Stegostoma tigrinum: one gene and its partners. The protein of the gene in region 1 purifies or fractionates together with the protein of each later gene. This does not show direct contact. Links are inferred from orthologs where the notes say so. Each region holds a gene or a part of one and is shown in the gene's direction. Other genes may lie near its edges.

The links. The genes of interacting proteins can lie anywhere in the genome.
Region 2: the proteins of cct2 (region 1) and txndc9 purify together in Homo sapiens (co-immunoprecipitation; 3 studies listed by BioGRID and IntAct, counting the BioPlex papers as one, with this or other methods). This does not show direct contact. The link is inferred for Stegostoma tigrinum from reciprocal best matches to the Homo sapiens genes CCT2 and TXNDC9.
Region 3: the proteins of cct2 (region 1) and tubd1 purify together in Homo sapiens (co-immunoprecipitation; 3 studies listed by BioGRID and IntAct, with this or other methods). This does not show direct contact. The link is inferred for Stegostoma tigrinum from reciprocal best matches to the Homo sapiens genes CCT2 and TUBD1.

What each region holds. Positions count from the first base shown.
Region 1 is NC_081371.1:45,599,922-45,607,255, reverse strand, and holds the start of cct2 (T-complex protein 1 subunit beta), read left to right. Parts: upstream 1-4,326; 5' UTR 4,327-4,450; coding exon 4,451-4,453; intron 4,454-4,883; exon of another isoform or gene 4,884-4,985; intron 4,986-7,334. UniProt on the Homo sapiens protein: Component of the chaperonin-containing T-complex (TRiC), a molecular chaperone complex that assists the folding of actin, tubulin and other proteins upon ATP hydrolysis.
Region 2 is NC_081359.1:59,429,694-59,436,769, reverse strand, and holds the start of txndc9 (thioredoxin domain-containing protein 9), read left to right. Parts: upstream 1-4,054; 5' UTR 4,055-4,301; intron 4,302-7,076. Other genes in the region: eif5b (eukaryotic translation initiation factor 5B), read right to left, coding at 3,846-3,880. UniProt on the Homo sapiens protein: Significantly diminishes the chaperonin TCP1 complex ATPase activity, thus negatively impacts protein folding, including that of actin or tubulin.
Region 3 is NC_081372.1:527,193-534,647, reverse strand, and holds the start of tubd1 (tubulin delta chain), read left to right. Parts: upstream 1-4,433; 5' UTR 4,434-4,699; coding exon 4,700-4,865; intron 4,866-7,455. UniProt on the Homo sapiens protein: Acts as a positive regulator of hedgehog signaling and regulates ciliary function.

The sequences.
Region 1 (7,334 bases):
CAAGGAAGCACTATTTTGTTCAGTTGCACCTTTGTTAAATAAAGAGACAGACCGAGTTCTCTCTTCTAAAATTTGACAAATTAATAGACTTAATTAAGGAAAAGTTATAGGAATATTGTATTTTGAGCCTTACATGCTATACCAGTTTAAAGGGAATTCATGCAGAGCAGGAACTCCATAAGAACACCCTTTTCGACTTATCATTCTACAGTTTAAACTTAGGTTTTAGAACTGGATAACTTACAGTACTAATTCTTTCCAGCAGTATTGGAATTAAATGCCACTCCCATGAACGTGACATGAATGCAGATATTTAGGTCTACTACTTTGTGGGCTTTTCCAGCAATCTTACAGATCTTTTATACGGTATGTGTATTCTTTGCAGGCAAATGGCATACCTAACTAAATTTATTTTCTGCAGTTTCTATTGAGATTGCTATGTGTCTCATTAGACTTAACTGATGCTGGTATACAACTTGATTTTGCCACCAGAATCTATGTATAAATGTGCATTAATCACTTTGACCAAGCAGTAATATAACATTGCTGAGGATGTATCATGCAGCATATCCTTAGTTTCAAAGGATGTTTTTGAACAAGATTTAAACATCATGTTTGCGCCTTGTAGCCATCATGTTCAAAATACCTTGCTATCAATGCTGCTCTTTTTGCTTCAAATAGTTCACTTTCTTTTACCAGTTTCGTTCAGGTCTAATTTGTTGAATGGAATCACATTCTGAAAATGAAATTGCGATTTTGTCCGACTGAAAATTAGAATACTTTTGACATGATTATAAATTATCATATTAAACCTTTAGTCAGTGATGGTGCCATTTAATAATTGCAAAGAAGAAACAGAGACCCTCCATTCCTAGACTATAAAGTACACTAAAGGATGAAAACTTACATTTAATGTTGCTTGGCTATTTTTGTATTGTACAATACTGTAAATTTTTCTAACAAGCATTATAAAATGATAGTCTTGCATAAATGTAGTGATTGTATAAAAGTAGTAAAATAGTTTAAAATTATTTTTACATAGGACACAAAATAGTACAAAGCTCAGAGTGGCGCACATCAATACTTAACTTTGTTGTACATTTTTCTATATATATATTTTAGCCCCTTTGGTGTTTGAGTTGCAAACATTCCATGTTTTCTTGCAATGCTCTTTGTCATAACTGAGTATGAGATGTACTCAAACAAAGAATTAGTTAGAAGTTACCATATTATATTGTTTGCATTTCAGGTTTGCCAAAATTGTTGGTTTTAAGGAATGCCCATATATTTTGTGCCTGAGGTTGTCAAATGTCAGAAGTGCCAATACTTTTTGTAGCATGAGATTGATGATTTTACAAACATTTGTAACTGCAACACATTACTGGGTTTACATCAGTCCTCTAGTTTTGAAGTAAAACCAAATTTTTTTTAAACAAATCATGGTTTATGTATTTGGCAGCTGCCCAGAGCTTTAGTGTTTACTGGCTCTTGGAAATTCCCTGTGGAATAAGCTGCATCTTGCAAAATGAGCATTGTACTTAACGGTGTATGATTAATAAACTTTTTTTGTGCTGAATAACAACAGTCTCCCAGACACTTTATTCACATTTATTCCTATTGTGGAAAGCTGCCTCTCAAGAGCAAAGAGGGAGGCAATATAGTGGAGACTGACTAAAGCCATCATTGCCAAGCTAGGACACATGGCAAGCAAATCTGAACGACATAACCCACTGCCTCAACCCAAGGAAGGGGGATGAATGGTACCTAACTGACTAGCTAACCCACCTCTGCAGCTAGGCTTGCTGGAGGATACCTAGCTAATTCAGTAACCCACCACCTCAACAGGGTACCTGTCTAACTAACTATGTAACCCACTGACGACCCTAGGAAAGGGAAGGGTACCTCACCAATAACCATCTTAATGATGTAAGAAAACAATTGTGGGTGCTGAAGATTTGAAACAAACAAAAACAGAAAAAGCTGGAGAAACTCAGCAGGTCTGACAGCATCTGTAGAAAGAAAATGGAGTAAATGTTTCAAGTCCAGTGACCCCCTCCACCCAAAAATAAAATTGGGCTGGACTTGAAACACTAACTCTAATTACCCCCCACAGACACTGCCAGACCTGAGTTTCTCCAATTTCTGTTCTTGTTTGCACCACTCGAACAACTCCACCGTGAGGAGTGGGGGTGTACCCTAACTAACTAGTGCACCTCTGATGGAGTTGGGGGGAGGCAATGGTCTAGTGGGGATGGAGCAGTAAATAACATAACTGACACACCTCCCAGGTGGGGGGCAGGGTGGCTAATAACCTAATTAATCCACTGCATCAACATCCAGAAACATTAAGGTTGGCAGGCAGAGTAGCATAGCACAAGCTGAACCAATCACTGCCAATCTTGCAGAGGAAGTAAGGGCATTTAAGAGAGTTTATGTCAAGTCAGTTCGCCTGAGTCTGTCAGAAGATGACATTAAAAGTGTGTTCAAGGCCTTTGGAAAGATTAAATCCTGCACCTTGGCCCTGAGACCCCACAAAAAGGAAGCATAATGGATACGGATTCATTGGTATTCTCTTAGTAAAACTGGTTTTGTGATGGTATTGTGGAAAAAGGTAGGGATACATTTAACAAAATTAAAATCAAAGACCTGGCAGGTAGCTGAGATGAAATTGGATAGAATGGTGTGATCTTTCATCTCAGGGTTTTGGCAATCACTCCAACCCAGGTAGATGAGTGATGGACTACTCCAGCTTTCTGTAAATCGTAAGTAATGAGTTTCAAACCCTCCACATAATTTCTTTTTGTCATTTTATCTTCCTTTTTTCCCCTCCTCCTGCTGCTAAATTTGGTCAGAATGCCACTTAACTAGCATTGATGGGCTGCCAGGTCAAATAATGTCAGAATTGGATGTCCTGATGCACCATAAGTGACTACAAGAAAAAACTTTTTGCTGGAATCCAAGGACATGTCATGCACTTTATAAGAACTGCTAATGTCAGCTGGGAGCAAAGTGAAAAAGTAATCAGAATGTGAAAATGTCTGGCAGTTAAACACAACATTGTTCTTCCTTTCTTGCATTTCCATCACTTCATCTGAACCATCAACATCCTTTCTCCCCCAACACTTCTGACCCTGCCCACCCAACTATTGCAAAAAAGTTGCCCCTTCCCCAGTTCCCTTTAGCTCTAATGAAGAGTCATCTAGACTGGCTTTAGAATAATTAGATCAAGGAGAATGTTGGGAGATAAACTAGATGTACAAAGATTTTGTTTTTAGCAACACTTCACCAAAATCTGCAACTATATGGGATTTGAGGCCACATTAAGTGGCAGAGTGGGCACTGACAGTTAATTATGCATGAATCTTTAGTTGGCCCAGGCATTTGATATTGGTATCTGATGATTCAGCTGATAACTTTTTTTTAATCTGTTGGATTAGTTCTGTTGCACCATGAACGTAGCGGGAACTTTAACTTCAACAAACACGTGACATGATCCATGAGTTTGGGCTTTTCTTTTGAATTGAGTTTTTTGAATTGTGTGGGTAGGCGGTAGATGATGCACGGGTGATAATGGAAACTGCAGATGCTGGAGAATCCGAGATAATAAAATGTGAGGCTGGATGAACGCAGCAGGCCCAGCAGCATCTCAGGAGCACAAAAGCTGACATTTCGCGCCTAGACCCTTCATCAGAGAGGGGGATGGGGTGAGGGTTCTGGAATAAATAGGGAGGGGGAGGCGGACCGAAGGAGAGTAAAGAAGATAGGTGGAGAGAGAGTATAGGTAGGGAGGGGACAGGTCAAGGAGGTGGGATGAGGTTAGTAGGTAGGAGATGGAGGTGCGGCTTGGGGTGGGAGGAAGGGATGGGTGAGAGGAAGAACCGGTTAGGGAGGCAGAGACAGGTTGGACTGGTTTTGGGATGCAGTGGGTGGAGGGGAAGAGCTGGGCTGGTTGTGTGGTGCACGGGGTAGCGTTAACTGGAACCATTAACTAAACTGTGACGAACTTCGTCCTAATTTTACTTGTGTAACATCTGTCATTGTAGGTGCTGTGGTGGGACGACTTATAAAACTATTCATTGTATTTTTCACGTGACATTAAGTTTCTGTTCTGTTCCCGGGGGCCGGGTAGGATAATGATCCGAGATAATGGGGACTGCAGATGCTGGAGATTCCAAGATAATAAAATGTGAGGCTGGATGAACACAGCAGGCCAAGCAGCATCTCAGGAGCATGCTCCTGAGATGCTGCTTGGCCTGCTGTGTTCATCCAGCCTCACATTTTATTATCTAGGATAATGATCCATTGAGTCTGCGCGCTGTTGATCCCGCCACCAAGAAGCGGGGTCGTCGATCCGGGCTCTGGAGGCGCGGCCAACTTCCGGGTTCAGGGAGGTCGCGGCTTCCGGCGGTTGGGTCGAAGCTGAGCGGACGGCGACTCTCGAGCTCCCGAGATGGTAGGTGTCTGCGGGCTGAGTATTCGCCGTGTCCCCACACCGAGCGAGAGTCGCTTCCCTTCCCTCGGTATCCGAAAAGCTGGGTAACCGGGGGGCGGGGTGGTGTCTGTGTGTATGTTGAAGTTGAATCCTCAATCTTCTCGTTTTCCGTCTCAGTCGGGCACGTGTTGCGAATATTCACGATGCCGGGGCCGATCGCCTCCCCCACCCCCTGGGCTGGGCAGCGGTTTCTTCTCCCCAGACCCTACCCTCAGCACCTATCCACCGATGGGATGGAATCTTTGTTTTGTGTGTGGCTGGGCAGGGCAGATTGGGAAGAGGCTTCAGGCTGACAGCACCGGAATCGGCTCTGATCGGGGACAAATAAATTTGAAAACACAGACTCTGCGTCCGACAAAACCCCCAGACCCCCCCCCCCCTTCACACCGACCTCTTATCCGGCGGAGTGTTACCGATGTCCCGCTGCCTCAAAATAGCGGATAAAAGCGGCGCCGCCGAAAGTTCCAGCACTCCTGAGGGCGGGGCTTCATTGTCGAAGTGTGCGCAGGCGTAGCCTGCCCCCTCCGCCCAAATCCTACGAAAATGTGAACGAGAGATAATGGGAACTGCAGATGCTGGAGAATCCAAGATAATAAAATGTGAGGCTGGATGAACACAGCAGGCCCAGCAGCATCTCAGGAGCACAAAAGCTGACGTTTCGGGCCTAGACCCTTCATCAGAGAGGGGTGTAGGCCCGAAACAGCTTTTGTGCTCCTGAAATGCTGCTGGGCCTGCTGTGTTCATCCAGCTTCACACTTTGTTATCTTGACAACGTGAACAAATTGAGATAACAAGGTATAGAGCTGGAAGAACACAGGCCGAGCAGGAAAGCTGACATTTTAGGCCTGGACCCTTCATTCGACAACAACTGCCTCTTGCATTTTTATCGTTGCCAACAACCCAAGTCTCCTACCTCAGGTGGATAAGGCTGTTGAGGCATGGAATAGAGGATTAGCAGGGCCATGCAATGTAAGAGGTGGGAAGTTGACTTGGGGTATACAGCACACAAACGAAAGTCCAACCATCCCATGTTCATGCTCCACCTTAAATCTAAGGTTATGTCAGTATTGTATTAAATGGTACACTTACAGTATAATAAAAACCAAAACTACTACAGATGCTGTAAATCAGGAACAAAAACAAAGTTTCTGGAAAAGCCAAGTTCTTTAAGGACCGCAACTTTCCCCCCACAGTGATCGAGAACGCCCTTGACCGCGTCTCCCGTATTTCCCGCAACACATCCCTCACAACCGCCCAAAGAGGATCTCCCTCGTTCTCACACACCACCCCACCAACCTCCGATACAACGCATCATCCTCCGACACTTTCGCCATTTACAATCCGCCCCCACCACCCAAGACATTTTTCCATCCCCACCCCTGTCTGCCTTCCGGAGAGACCACACTCTCCGTGACTCTCTTGTTCGCTCCACACTGCCCTCCAACCCCACCACACCCGGCACCTTCCCCTGCAACCGCAGGAAATGCTACACTTGCCCCCACACCTCCTCCCTCACCCCTATCCCAGGCCCCAAGATGACATTCCACATTAAGCAGACGTTCACCTGCACATCTGCCAATGTGGTATACTGCATCCATTGTACCCGGTGCGGCTTCCTCTACATTGGGGAAACCAAGCGGAGGCTTGGAGACCGCTTTGCAGAACACCCCCGCTCAGTTCGCAACAAACAACTGCACCTCCCAGTCGCAAACCATTTCCACTCCCCCTCCCATTCTCTTGATGACATGTCCATCATGGGACTCCTGCAGTGCACAATGATGCCACCCAAAGGTTGCAGGAACAGCAACTCATAATCCGCCTGGAAACCCTGCAGCCTAATGGTATCAATGTGGACTTCACCAGTTTCAAAATCTCCCCTTCCCCTACTGCATCCCTAAACCAGCCCAGTTTGTCCCCTCCCCCCACTGCACCACACAACCAGCCCAGCTCTTAACCCACCGCATCCCAAAACCAGTCCAACCTGTCTCTGCCTCCCTAACCGGTTCTTCCTCTCACCCATCCCTTCCTCCCACCCCAAGCCGCACCCCCAGCTACCTACTAGCCTCATCCCACCTCCTTGACCTGTCCCCTCCCTACCTCCCCACCTATACTCTCTCCACCTATCTTCTTTACTCTCCATCTTCGGTCCGCCTCCCCCTCTCTCCTTATTTATTCCAGTTCCCTCTCCCCATCCCCCTCTCTGATGAAGGGTCTAGGCCCGAAACATCAGCTTTTGTGCTCCTGAGATGCTGCTTGGCCTGCTGTGTTCATCCAGCCTCACATTTTATTATCTTGGAATTCTCCAGCATCTGCAGTTCCCATTATCTCTCATTATTCTGGAAAAGCCCAGCAGGTCTGGCAGCAACTGAAGGAAAAAACGGAGTTAACGTTTTGGGTTGGTGACTCTTCCTCAGACCTGGCAGCATGTCGTTCTGACCCCTATGCTGCAGGAAATATGAGATTGTAGTATACAGAGCGCAGAAAGAAAGAAAGACTTTTTTTTTGGGCCAGGAGACTGAGGAGAGGTTACAAGGTGGCTAATTTTGCAGAATCTAGAGAAAGTTGATTCATTTTTAAAAGTTCATACCCAAAAAAAATTAAAATTAAATCTAGAAGGAGGGGAAGAGGCTTGGCTAGTATAGAGCAGAAACAGTTGATGGATATGGCTCAGTGATGAGCTGAAGGAAATGTACAGGAGGCCAAAATTTGAATAATTTGAGTTCTCTGAGGGTTATGAACTTACAAATTTGGAGCTTGACTAAGTCATTGATCTCTTAAGCCTGTGGTATCTTTGTAGCTGATTTGATTGTGGCCTTAACTTTTTTTTATATACTTCCTCTTA
Region 2 (7,076 bases), on another chromosome or scaffold:
TGCTATCATCCCAGCTGATGGAATTTAACTTGTCCATTAATATCAACTTGAAATCTGGTTTGATAGACTAGAAATTGAATTTGGGCAATTGGTTTATTACTGTGGTCAGTAACTGAATGTATTAAAAAGAGGCTGCCAATCTACTTTTAACAAAAAAAATATATATTTATGTTCATGTTATTAGACAAATCCTTTTTCTAACTTAGCCTTTGGGATCAGTTTAACTCAGTTGGCTGGACTGCAGAATGAAGCTAACAGCATGGGTTCAACTCTTACGCTGGCTGAGGTTACCATGAAGGATTCTACTTCTCAACTTCTTCACTCGTCCAAGACATGGTGACCCTCAGGTTAAAATACCACCAGCTGTGCTTCTCCAATGAGACAGTCGTCCTGCAGTTTGGTAAGACTACAGTGACTTTACCTCTGTATAAGAACTATTTGAAATGTTCTTAGCACATATTAGGAAGATACAATCTTCTTGCTCTCACCTTAAAAGTCCAAGTTACTCTCTTTCCACTTTAAAAGCTTCTTGTTCAGGAAGCATGGCTATTCTTGGCTTCTTACCAGCAAACTTCTGCATTCACTCTACACCATCATGTCCAGGTCAGATTTCTTCAGGAGACCATTAAGCTGCTAACATAACCGATTTATTCCTCACGAGGTGTTCACTTAAATTGTGCATTCAATGGCCTTGTAAGATATTCATAGATCATCATCACAGAACTCCTATAGTGTGGAAACAGGCCCGTTGGCCCAAAAAATCCACACTGACCCTCAGAGCATTCCACCCAGACCCATTCACCCCTCTCGTCATAACCCACCTAATCTACACCTCCCTGAACACCACGGGCAATTTAGCATGGCCAATCCATCTAGTCTGCACGTTTTTGGACTGTGGGAGGAAACCAGAGCACCCGGAGAAAACCTACGCAGGCACAGGTAGAATGTGCAAACTCCACACAGCTAGTGGCCCGAGAGTGGAACTGAACTCAGGTCCCTGGTGTTGTGAGGCAGCAGAGCTAACTACCGAGCCTTCGTGCTGCCCACATTCTCCTGTCACCTAACTTTTTGCCACACAGGGTTTTTCTTCTGCACTGTCTTTTTTTTTAAATTGCTAAACTGCAGTGGTAAATCAAGGCTGATGCACACCTTTTCTCTCCACTGGGCATGCTTATCTCTCTGAAATACACTTACCTACCCATTAGTCTTCTAAATGGTTCTATCTTTCTAGGAAGGCATTTCTATCTCTGCCTCCTTGTCCCAGAGGACATCTTGTTGCTGCAACCCATTTTATATTTCCCTTCAGAGTCACTGAAGTGTTACAGTGCAGCAGGAGGCCATTCAACCCCTCCTGTCTTCAGCAGCTTTCCAAATGGGAATTATAACTCAGCGCCACTCTCCTGCCTGCTTCCCAAAATCTTGCACATTATTTAATAGAAAGAATCATCTAGTGCCATTGAATGCCTCAATTAAACTTGCTTCCACCTCAGTTCTCACTACAAGTGTTCAACTACTGAACATGACTCAATCGTTGTGTGAGGAAGTTCTTTTCTCAAATCACGTTTTTATTTTGCAAATCACTTGAAATCTGTACCATCTCATTCATTAGCCGCTTCTTTTAGGACCATTGGTTGAAGTTCATCAGGATCGGGGCAATTGACAGGCCTAAGTTCCAATAATTTAATAAGAACCACTTCTTTGGAGATTGAGAGTTTCTCCAACTAATGAGCTTCCCTCTTGTTTTTGTTTTAAAACCTTCCCCTGCCCATATTTCTCCTTGAAAGCTGATTATTCTAACTCCGATTCAGGTCTGATGAAATGTTAACTATTACTTTCCACAAATTCTATAATACCGAACGTGCATTTGCAGCATTTTATTATTTATTTCCAATTTCCAGCATCTGCAGTATTGTGCCTGTGTTCAAAATTTAGCACATTTGATATTTTTCATTTCCTGAAATCTAGATTATTCATTCATGCACCCCTTCCTCTCTCACTTCATGTTTCTTGATCTACACACACCAATACGTAATCTCTCTCAAGATCTCTGCTTCTCACAATCGTTCCTTCTCCCACAAACAACCATACATCAATCATTATCAATCTCTCACCTTCTGCATTTAGTGTCCGTCACTAATGATTAATGGTGACAACTTGTTTCATAATTTTCAGTAATAAATCAATTAGCAAATTCCAGTTGCCAAATTTTATGATTTAAAAAAGCTGTAGACCCTGCTGATAAATGTAATATGATGGCTACTATTAAATAATACTTTTTTAAAAATCCCATCATAGGAGGGCATTGCTGACTACAGTAGCCTTTATTGCCCTCCCTAATTGCCCTGAGGACAGTTAAGAGTTAACCCTATTGCTGAGAATTGGAATCACACATGGGTCAGACCAGGTAAGATTGGCAAATTTCCTTCCCTGAAGAATATTAGTGAATGAGATGGGTTTTTCTAACAAACCACACCAGTTTCACGGTGATCACATGTCTGTTAAATGTATCCAAAATCCACCATTTGCCACGGTGGGATTTGAACCCCAAATTATTAAGACTACTGCTAATACCACTAGTCCGTGCCCTTTCTGAGCATCCAAATTTTCTAGCAAGCACTGAAGTTTAAAAACTTGCATGTGAATACTTTTATATTGCTCATCGTGGGATTGAATGCCTGATAAGATGCAAGAAAATACATCCAAGTCCCACATAGTGGTCACAAGATGTGCAGGGTCATTCCAGCCCACGGGTGAACTTATTTCTATTTATTGACATATGAGGAACACTTTCCATCGAATTGGAGAATACGGGTACAGACAGTCAATGAATAGGCAGTTAATTAAACAAGCAAACTAATTTTCAATGGACAAGTTGATCACAAATGTGGGTGACATTTAGAATAAGGCAAATCTAACTAGATATTTAGATGATAAGACTTCTCTATTCAGATACTTCAATGCTAATAAATCAACAAAGGGCTCACCAAGTATTCTCATATGCTTGGAATTCTATTTTTGATTGTAAACAGGATTATGGAAGGGCCTTAGTGGCACAGCAATGGTATCCCAACTTCTAAGCCAGGAGGCCTGGTTCCAGAGGTGTGTCATAACAAATCTGCACAGGCTGATTGCAAATATTTACACATAATTATGATTAATATACACCATATAGTCCAGGGTCACAGAGTAGAAGATAACAAATGGATACAGACAAGGCAACATAAGGAGTCATTGTCTGGCATCTGATTTGCATCTGATATCATAACGAAGGCCTAAATTATATTCTATATTAATCTTCAGTCTAGAAATTATTGTACTGATATTATGTTCACCTAGCGTGTCTTTGTCACTTCAACAGGAATGTTAACATACTTAAAAAGTCCATAATGAGTCAAATCAATATAAAGTCTGCATCAGAGTAATATCTTCTAGATATGGCCCATAACGTTTAGGAAAAGAAAACTGCAACGTATGTTATATCCACTTTTGACATGACCGTAAAATTATTGGATAAAAATCATACGTAGAAACAAATTCTAAGCCTATGGTTTATCAGGTTCCTTGAAAACGTAAAGGAGGATCACGGAGGAAGGGGGTGAAGACAACCTCGAAGTCTCCCATTTCTACAAAACAGACTAACGTTAACCCCAGTCAGTAGCCCGCGGGCCTGCCCCTCTTGCGTCATGTTAGCGGTAGGGACCCGGACTCCTCCGCACTCGAGCAGTAGGAGCAGATCCGTCCAGCGGCCTAGTCAAGCAACATACTCCCTCAATTCCTTCCATCGCTCACGGCAACCAGCCTCTTCAGTAACGAATAAACAGAAAAGTAAACAGCTCAACACTCACTTATCTTCACTCTTGTTTTTCTGTTTTTTCCCCATTTTTTTACACTGTTGCCTCACTGTCACTTTTTAAAATCTCTTTCAGACATATGGCAGTCGCGTGAATCTGCGCATGCGCTATCGCGGCTGACCCGTGATCTGATCTCTGATTGGCTGTGGTTTCAGCCCATCCGCCCGCTTGTCAATCATTCAAGGCGGAAGTAGAAAGTGCAAAGGAGGAAATGATGCAAAAGAGCTGGGATCAATACTGCAAAAAGACATTTCGGAGAGCATCAAGATTCAATCTTGCTTTTTATGATTATTATTTTAAGAAGGGGAATTTGGCAACTACTTTTCCTTCCAACAGTTTATGAAAAGTACAAATGCCAAAACTGTGGAGGAAAAATACAGCATTTTATCAAATAGTTGCTTCCTATTACAGTCGCAAATCTGCATCTCAAAAGCTCTCCTTTAGCATCAGGTAAACATTATAATTTAAAAATATCAATATGCTATTGTAATTTATTAAACTATGTTGCAATTTATAGTTTACTTATTCTAATCATGGTTAGAAGCGTATTTATTGCCATGTATTTACCCTTTCCTTTATTTAAATTGTGACTATCATGTCATTTTTGGTACTAGAAACTGTTTGGTGGGTTGCAGTTTTTGTTTCTCACGATATTACATTATTCAAACAAGGCAACGTTTATTGATGACTGAGACCTTACGTTTAGCCTTAGTAATGAGGGTGCCATAAGAAGGTCCAGAATGGTGAAGGAGTACAGGCCAAAATAAAGATAGTTTGTGACTTGGAGGAAAACTTATAGGTGACAGTTTTCTTGTGGTTATTGTTGTTCTGTTTGCACTCGTAGTAGGACTGGAAAGCTTTCCATACAACTCTAAAATTGCATGTGTTATTGCCACAAGGTTTGAACGATGGAATGTGTGTTATTTTCTTAGAGGACTATTCCTATTTCCTTGTAGTAACTACCACCTTTACAATACGTGGTGCTGAGTCAAGATTGTTTGCGGCAATCTGCTACAAACAGTGTTCATTTCTTTTCTCTACCTATCTCGTGATTCTTGGTAGGAGGATCCAGCACCATGGACTATCTACAGAAGAGGCACTGTTCTCAGATAACAAGGTTTACTGCATTACAACAATGAGTGCAAATATTTTCAATCAGGCATAACTACTAGGACCATAACGAGTTTGTACAAGTGCATTTGCTCCTTCCAAAAGCAGAACTTGTCAACATTTTGTTTTTGTGTGAACTGTCTTTCAGTCCTGTCACTTTATATACCTGGGAAGGAGTCAAATGGAAGCATGTTGAGTGCAATGGCATAGATGATATTCAAAAATTGCTCCACACTAGATGCAGTTAAGTTTATTGAGTGTTGCTCTTGTTGCACTGAGTGAGATATGTGTTTCATTACGCTCAAAACATAACTGTTGGCGATCTTGTGAACTATCACCCTGTTCCCTTGGCTTCTCCTACGAGTATTGTTTAGTGCTTGTTTTGGGTAGCATCTTTGTATCAACAGAAAAGTATAATTCTTGAGACTTATAAAATTGCATAATTGGAGAAGCGGGGCAGAGTTTTTCTCTTGTTTACCACTATTTGGGTGGTAAAAAAGAAGAAAGGTCAAATAGAATCGATAAAATGTGGAGCTGAAGGAGCACAGCAGGTCAGGCAGTATCAGAGGAGCAGGAAAGTCAATGTTTCGAGTCCGGACCCTTCACCTGGACTGGGGAGGGGAAGGGAGCTCAGAAATAAACGGGCGAGGTTGGGCTGGAGGAAGGAGTGCGTATGATGATAGGTAAATGCAGGTAGGGAATTGAAGAGATTGGTCAGTGGGAAGGGTGGAGTGAATGGATGAGAAGGAAGATGGACAGGTTGTAACAGGTCAAAGAGGCGGGGATGAGAGGTAGGGCTGGACGTGGGTCGAGGCTGGTGGTGGGGAGATTTTGAAGCTGGTGAGGTCTATGTTGAGGCCATTGGGCTGTAAGCTCCTGAGGGGGAATGTACGGCATTGCTCTTCCAGTTTATGTATCGCCTCATTTTGACTGTGGAGGAGGCCCAGGATGGATATGTTGCCAAGGCAGTAGGATGGGGAGTTGAAATGGCTAGCAACCGGAAGGTGGCATTGATTGGAGCGTACCGGGTGTAGATGCTGTGCAAATTGGCCCCTGAATCAGTGCTTGGTCTCCCTTATATAGGGAAGACCGCATTGGGAGCAACTGATACAGTCGATCAGGTTAGAAGACATACAATTGAATCTCTGCTGGATATGGAATGATTGTTTGGGACCTTGGATGCAGCTGAGAGGGAATGCATAGGGGCAGATGTAGCACCTCCTTCAGTTGCAGGGCAGGATGCCAGGTGTGGTGGGAAAGTTGGTGGGGCACGTGCAGCTGACGACAGAGTGAGCAGTCCCTACAGAAGGCAGATAGAGATGGGGAAATATCTTTTCGGTGGTGGGGTGAAATCGCAGGTGACAAAAATGGCACAGGATGATGCATTGGATTTGCAGATTGGTGGGGTAGAATGTGAGGACCAGGGATAGGGGAAGGGGATTTGAGGGCAGAAGTGCAGGAAATGAGGAGATGTGGTTGAGGGAATTCTGAATCACAGGAGTGGGGAAATTATGGTCCTTGAAGGATGACATCTGGGATGTCTGGGAGTGGAACGCTTCATCACAGGACAGATGTGACAGAGGCAGAAGAATTGGGAGTATGGGATCATATTTTTGCAAGAGGATAGGTGAGAGGAGGTATGGTCAAGATAGCTGTGGCAGTCGGTGGGTTTGAAATGGAATTCGGTTGCCAGAGATGGAGACGCAGAGGTCCAGGAAGGGAAGGGAGGTGTCAAGTTGGTCCAGGTGAATTTGAGATTGGGGTGAAAGGTGTTGCTGAAGTTGATGACCTGTTCAAACTCCTCATGGGGGCATGAGGCAGCACCAATACAGTCATCAATGTAGCGGAGGAAGAGGTGAGGGATGGTGCCAGTGTGTCTGCGGAAGAGGTACTGTTCCACCAATCCGGCAAAGAGGCAGGCATAGCTCGGACCCATGCGAGTGCCCATAGCTACCCTCTTAATTTGTAGGAAGTGGAAGGAGTCAAAGGAATAACTGTTGAGGGTAAGGACTAGTTCTGCCAAGCGAATGAGAGAGTTGGTGGAGGGGAACAGGTTGTGCCTGTGACAGAGGAAGAAACAGAGGGCTTTTATGCCCTCCTCATGGGGGATACAGG
Region 3 (7,455 bases), on another chromosome or scaffold:
AAGCAACAACCTGATCAGCACAAGAATTATCTCAACAAATCCTGTAACAGAAACCACTGAACTGCTTTCTTAGTCTTTATTTCCACCCATAACATCCACTTCATGTCTGTGTGTGTCTGCATATATGATTAAGCTTGCATTTATATGTGTTTTAATAATGTTTTAATCAGCACAGTTATATTCTGATGGTTCAAAACTGTTTATCTGTAGTTAAAATCTAGAATAGTAATTTTTGTAAAGTACAGAAATCTGGTTTGTGCTTTCTGTCAACCTGGGTGTAAAAGAAAGGTAAGTTAGGGAAATATGCATGCTTTCTACCATCTCTACAATCTTTGTGATGACTTCAGGAAATGCAGGGCATGATTTTCAGCATGCTCGAGGATGGCATTACACATTATTAACTGCTCAGCTACACTCCCTGTAGGATCAATTACTTTGTTAACTCTTTCCCAGTTTAAATATCTATGGAAGCTCAAGTTGCCATGGTGATTAATTCCTATTGACTATAATCTTCATTTGTGTCAAATATCAGCTGGAGAATCCCACTCATAAGTCACATTGAGTGCATTTTGTTGTATCTTTTCTGGTGTGTCATATGCACTATCTGTGGGCTTAACTTCAAAAGAATAAAGAAAAGTTGATGGAATGGGTGAACATTAACAGACAAAATGTGCAGAGAAATGCAAAGTGATCCACTTTGTTGGAAGACCCTGGAGAACATGAGAAAATGATACAATTCTGAAAGGGTGCCTATGTTGTTCAAATGCAAAAAGATCTGGACAATATCAAGATGTGGGCTGACAAGTGGCAAGCATCATTTGAATAGAATCCCTATGGGATTGAAATGAGCCATTCAGCCCAACAAGTCCACACCAACTCTGCAAAGACCATCTCACCCTGCCTCGCGCTGTACCCTATCCCTGTAACCCTTGCATTTCCCACAGCTGATTCCCCTAACTACATATTCCTGGACTTTAAAGCATAGCCAATTCACCCAATCTGCACATCTTTGCACTGTGGGATGAAAACAGAGCACCTGCAAGAAACCCACACAGACACGGGAGAATGTGCAAACTCCACACAGGCTTCAACCCAGGTCCCTGGTGCTGAGGCAGCAGTGCAAATCACTGTGCCACCCTTACTGAATCCACCACTATCAACATCCTGGGAGTTACCGTTGACCAGAAACTCAACTGGATTCACCACATAAACACTGGCTACAAGAGTAGGTCAGAGGCTAGGAATACTGCAGCAAGTAACTCACCTCCTAACTCCCCAGAACTTGTCCAACATCTACAAGGCATAATTCCGGAGTGAGATGAATACTCCCCACTTGCCTGGATGAGTGGAGTTCCAACAACACTCAAGAAACTTACATATCTAGGACAAAACTGCCCACCTGATTGGCCCCATGTCCACAAGCATACACTCCCTCCACCACTGACACTCAGTAGTAACACTGTGTACTATCTACCAGATGCACTGCAGAAATTCACCAAAGATCCTCAGAGGGCACCTTCCAAACCTACATCTGGAAGGACAGGGGAAGCTGTTCCTTCAGTGTCATTCGGTAAAACACCTAGAATTCCCCTCAAATGGCATTGTGGAGTCAACCCACAGCACATGAACTACAGCAGTTCAAGAAGGCAGCTCACCATCGCCTTGTCAAGGGTGACCAGGGATGGGCAATAAACGCTGATGCCAGTGTTCCCCATGTCCCATGAATGAATGAAAGAAAAGGACCCTGGGCTTAGTAATGGATAAATTGTTGAAAATATCTTGCAGGTTGAGGCAGTAGGTAAAATCCTGGCTCATCCAACGATTTATGAATAAAGGCATAGACCACACAAGCAAGGCAGTTGTAATATGTTTGCAAAAAACATTGGTCCAACTGGACGACTCAACTGTTAATTGAAAAAAAATTGCCGGAGAATCTAGGCAGGTCTGGCAGCATCTGTGCAGAGAAAACAAAGTTAATGTTGGAGTCCAATGACCCTTCTTCAGAACTGATGGTACCTAGGAAAAAACAGTATTTATCAAGATGACAGGGGGTCAGGGCAGGAGTGAGCCAAGAGATGGAGATGGATATCAAGACAGAGAGATAGAGATAGAGGGAAAAGTTAGACAGACAGAGGGATTATTAATAGTAAGTGAGGAAAAAGAAAAGCTAGTTTAGCGATAATGGGGGCTATGAGTGAGTGAGAATGGGTTGGCTGTGCTGAAAGCAACTCACGTCATGACAAGTCCTGGGGTGTGGGGGTGGGTAAGAGACATGGAAGGAGGTGTAGCAGGCTTTCAAATGACTGAACTCGGTATTGACTCCTGAAGGGTGCACTGTCCCCAAATGGAAAATGAGATACTATTCCTGCTGCACGTGCTGAGCCTCAATGGAGAACTGTAGCAGGCCAGAGGAAGAAATGTTGGCTAGGGAACACAATGATGTGTTGAAGTGGCAGGCAACTGCAAACTTGGGGCCATCTTTATGGACTGAATGTAGGATCGATTGAAGACATTGGGACTTGTTCTCCTTAGAGAGAAAAGTGCTGAAAGAAAATTTGATAAGGGTTTTCAAAATCATGAGTGGGCTTGATAACATATAGATGGAGAAAACCCGTGCTCAGAAAACAATGACGCCAATGAAATAACTCCACAGAGGCCAGTATTGCATCACCAAGTTACACTTTATATACACGAGGCATGTTCTTGACAGTGATCCACCTCCCTCGAGCCAGCTCTCAGGATGAACAAGGTGTCTGACACTTTCCTACTTATCTCTCAGCCAGAGCTGCCTGATTGGACCAGATTAACAGCCCCAGTTAGGGAACTCATATTCTATGGGTCCACCTGGCTGACCTCATTACAATCACTGTAGGCATAAATTTAAAATGATGTACCAAACAAACAAGGGCGAAGTGAGAAACAATCTATTTCACATAATGAGTTGTTTTGGAAATGTGGTGGAAGTAGGTTCAATAGAGGCATTAATGATGGTATTTAACGATTATTTGGATAGAAATAGTACCCATGGGTATGGGGGAAAAGTAGGAGATTGACATGAAATAATGATGCTTGAAGAGCTGGTGCTGGCATGATGGGCCAAAAGACCTCCTTCTGCACCTTAACAAATCTGTGATTCCAGTTACCAAGTCTCAGGCTCTGCAATTCCCACCTGAAACATTGTTTTCTTTTAAAATGTTCCTGAAAGCCTGATGTACTGAAGGGTGAGCAGTGAGGAGAATGCAGAGATGTTGCAGTGTGATTTGGACAGGCTGAGTGAGTGGACAGATGGATGGCAGATGCACTATAATGTGGTTAAGTGTGAGGTTATCCACTTTGGTAGTGAAAAAGAGGAAGGCAGATTAATGTTTAAATGGCTGTAAATTGAGAGAAATTGTGATTGTACACTAGTTCCTGAAAGTGTGCAAATGTAGTAGGCAATAAAGAAGGCAAACTGTGTGTTAGTCTTTATAGCCACGTCTGGGATTAAAACCAAAAGAACTGCGGATGCTGAGCTTTTCCAGCAATGTTGTTTTTGTTCCACATCTGGAATATTGTATGCAGTTTTGGTCACCTTGTCTGAGGAATGATGCTCTTGCTTTAGAGGGGGCGTGGCAAAGGTTCATCAAATTGATTCCTGGAATGGCAGGGCTAATGTACGAGGAGAGATTGAGTCAGTTAGGATTCACTGGAGTTTTGAAGAATGAGGGGGTTCTCATAGAAACATATTAAATTCTAACATGGCCAGACAGGTTAAATGCAGGAAGAATGTTCCCAGTGGTGGGGTAGTCCAGAACCAGGGGTCATAGTTTTAGGACAAGTGGCAAACCATTCAGGACTGAGATGAGGAGAAATTTCCTCAAGCAGAGAGTGGTGAGCTTCTGGAAATCACTACCACAGAAATGGTTGAGGTTAAAACATTGTGTTTTCAAGAAGCTACTGTGACAAAAAGATTCAAGGGATGGGGGAGTGGGTGGACTTAGGGTATTGAGCTGAATGATCAACCATGATCATATTGAATGACAGAGCAGGTTTGCGGGGACAAATGGCCTCCTCTTGTTCCTATATTCTGTATTTCAATGAAAGGTCAGTGCCCTGAAACATTCAATTTGCTTGATCCACGGGCTGCTACCGAATGTTCCCTCATTTGAGATTTGTCATTACTTTAAAACATTTTTTAGGTCAGCTGGGGTCCGGTCTGAGAGTTTGTCAATGTCCCTATGAAACACTTGCGGACCTCACTCTTCTGCGCGTGAGAGCGCTGAAACATCAGCTTTCCTGCTCCTCTCACGCTGCTTGGCCTGCTGTGTCCATCCAGCTCCACACCGCGTCATCTCAGGTTCTCCAGCATCTGCACTTCCTACTGTCTATGAAAACGTAAGTTGTTGTTGTGCTGGTGGTGGCGGGACAGCGAAAAGCGCGCATGCGCCAAAGACGGAGGCCCTCCCGACCCGCAATTAACCCGCGAGAGAGCGCGCGCATTGCTGTGGCAACGGGGCCAGGCCGAGTCGCGCGTGAAGGGTCCGGTCAGTTAGACAGAGCGCGGGGAGACGGTGGTCAGTCAGTCAGCCCCAGGGGAGGGGTGGGTTCAGTCAGTCAGACAGACAGCCCTGTGGGGGGTGGTCAGTTAGATAGTCGGGGGGAGCGGCGACGGCAGACAGTCAGACAGACAGCCCCGGGGGTGAGCGGCTTGGGGAGGGGAATGGCGCTGGTGCTGCTGCAGCTCGGACAGTGCGGGAACCAGGTGGGCCAGGAGCTGCTCGAACTGGTCAGCCAGGATGGCCGGAGTGACCGGAGCCGGAGCCGCGCTGACACTTACCGAGCTGTTTCACTGGAGCGCTTCTTCCGGCAGGAGGCTGGGGCTAACGGTGAGGGGCATTGCTGAAGCTTCCTTCACCCATCACTCACCCCCCTGATCCTTCACCCATCCTTCACCCCCCCGATCCTTCACCCATCACTCACCCCCCCGATCCTTCACCCATCACTCACCCCCCCCAATCCTTCGCCCATCACTCACCCCCCCGATCCTTCACCCATCACTCACCCCCCCGATCCTTCACCCATCACTCACCACCCCCCAATCCTTCACCCATCACTCACCCCCCCGATCCTTCACCCATCACTCACCACCCCCCAATCCTTCACCCATCACTCACCCCCCCGATCCTTCACCCCCCCGATCCTTCACCCCCCCGATCCTTCACCCCCCCGATCCTTCACCCCCCCGATCCTCCACCCCGGTCCGATCCTTCACCCATCACTCACCCCACCCCCGATCCTTCACCCCCGCTGATCCTTCGCCCCCCCCCCGATCTTTCACCCCACCCCGATCCTTCGCCCCCCCCCACCGATCCTTCACCCATCACCACCACCCCGATCCTTCACCCCCGCAGATTCTTCACCCCCCCGATCCTTCACTCCCCTCGATCCTTCACCCCCCCGATCCTCCACCCATCACTCACCCCACTGATCCTTCACCACCCCCAAATCCTTCACCCCCCCCGATCCTTCACCCCCCCGAATCTTCACTCCCCCCACGATCGTTCACCCATCACTCACCCCCCCCGATCGTTAACCTATCACTCACCCACCCGATCGTTAACCCATCCCCAACCTCCCCGATCGTTCACCCATCCCTCACCCCCGCCGATCCTTCACCCTTCCCCCGATCCTTCACCCACTCCGATCCTTCACCCCCCCGATCCTTCACCCCCCCGATCCTTCACCCCCCCGATCCTTCACCCCCCTGATCCTTCACCCCCCCCGATCCATCACCCCCCAGATCCTTCACCCCAACCCGATGCTTCGCTGCCCCACCGATCCTTCGCCGCCCCCCCCGATCCTTCACTCCCCTCGATCCTTCGCCCGTCACTCACCCCCCTCGATCTTTCGCCCGTCACTCACCCCCCTCGATCTTTCGCCCGTCACTCACCCCCCTCGATCCTTCGCCCGCCACTCACCCCCCTCGGCCCTTCGCCCGTCACTCACCCCCTCGGCCCTTCGCCCGTCACTCACCCCCTCGGTCCTTCGCCCGTCCCTCACCCCCCTCGGTCCTTTGCCCGTCCCTCACCCCCCTCGGTCCTTTGCCCGTCCCTCACCCCCCTCGGTCCTTTGCCCGTCCCTCACCCCACTCGGTCCTTTGCCCGTCCCTCACCCCCTTCAGTCCTTCGCCCGTCCCTCACCCCACCTCCGATCCTTCGCCCGTCACTCACCCCCCCCGGATCCTTCTCTCATCACTCACCCCACGCCCCCCCGATCCTTCACCCCCGCTGATCCTTCGCCCCTCCGATCCTTTGCCCCCCCCCCACCACCCCGATCCTTCACCCCGCCCCAGATCCTTGAACCCCTGGATCCTTGAACCCCCGGATCTTCACTCCCCCCCCCCCCGATCGTTAACCCATCCCTCACCCCCGCCGATCCTTCGCCCCCCCGCGATCCTTCACCCCAACCCGATCCTTCGCCACCCCCGTTCCTTCACTCCCCTCGATCCTTCACCCCCCCCAGATCCTCCACCCATCACTCACCCCACTGATCCTCCACCACCCCCAAATCCTTCAACCCCCGATCCTTCACCCCCTCCTGAATCTTCACTCCCCCCTCGATCCTTCGCCCGTCACTCACCCGCCTCGATCCTTCGCCCGTCACTCACCCGCCTCGGTCCTTCGCCCGTCACTCACCCGCCCCCCCCCCCGTCCTTCACCCATAACTGACCCCCCCGATCCTTCACCCACTTCCCACACTCACCCCCCCTGATCCTTCACCCACACCCACTCCTCCCCCCGATCCTTCACCCTCTTCCCATACACACCCCCCCTGATCCTTTGCCCTTCTTGTACTCATCCTTGTTCAGTCTTCTTTGCCATCTCCCACATTCTGTACTGCATGGGAATTTCCTTCATTAAACCAACACACCTCAAAATGCACAGCAGCAGGTCACTGAGCTCCTGCCACCCCGTGCCACCTCAGCCTATTACATGAATGTTCTGCTGTAACACATTTTTACTAACGTGGACAGTTAATGTGGTAAACCTACTCACTTGAGCGCTGTCTTCTCTGGTACACTTTTTACAAATGCAATCAGTGTGAAATATTACAAAAAGCATGTCCAATCTTCAGGCCACACTTGTGTTGAATGTGACCCCTGGTATTTTTGCTTCACCTGAAAGAATGTTCTGTTCAAACTGAAACAACATGTATTTTATATTTAGAACAGCATTTATTTTAGATTTCGAACAGAATTTATTCGATTGCTGGCAGTGGCAACAACATCTACTGCATCTAAAATGAAAAACAGAATTTGCTGGAGAAGGTCAGATTTGGCAGCATCTGTTAATGTTAAGGAGATAGTAGGAACTGCAGATTTTGGAGAATCTGAGATAACAAGGTGTAGAGCTGGATGAACACAACAGGCCAAGCAGCATCAGTGGATCAGGAACCCTTCTCTAGGCCCAAAACGTC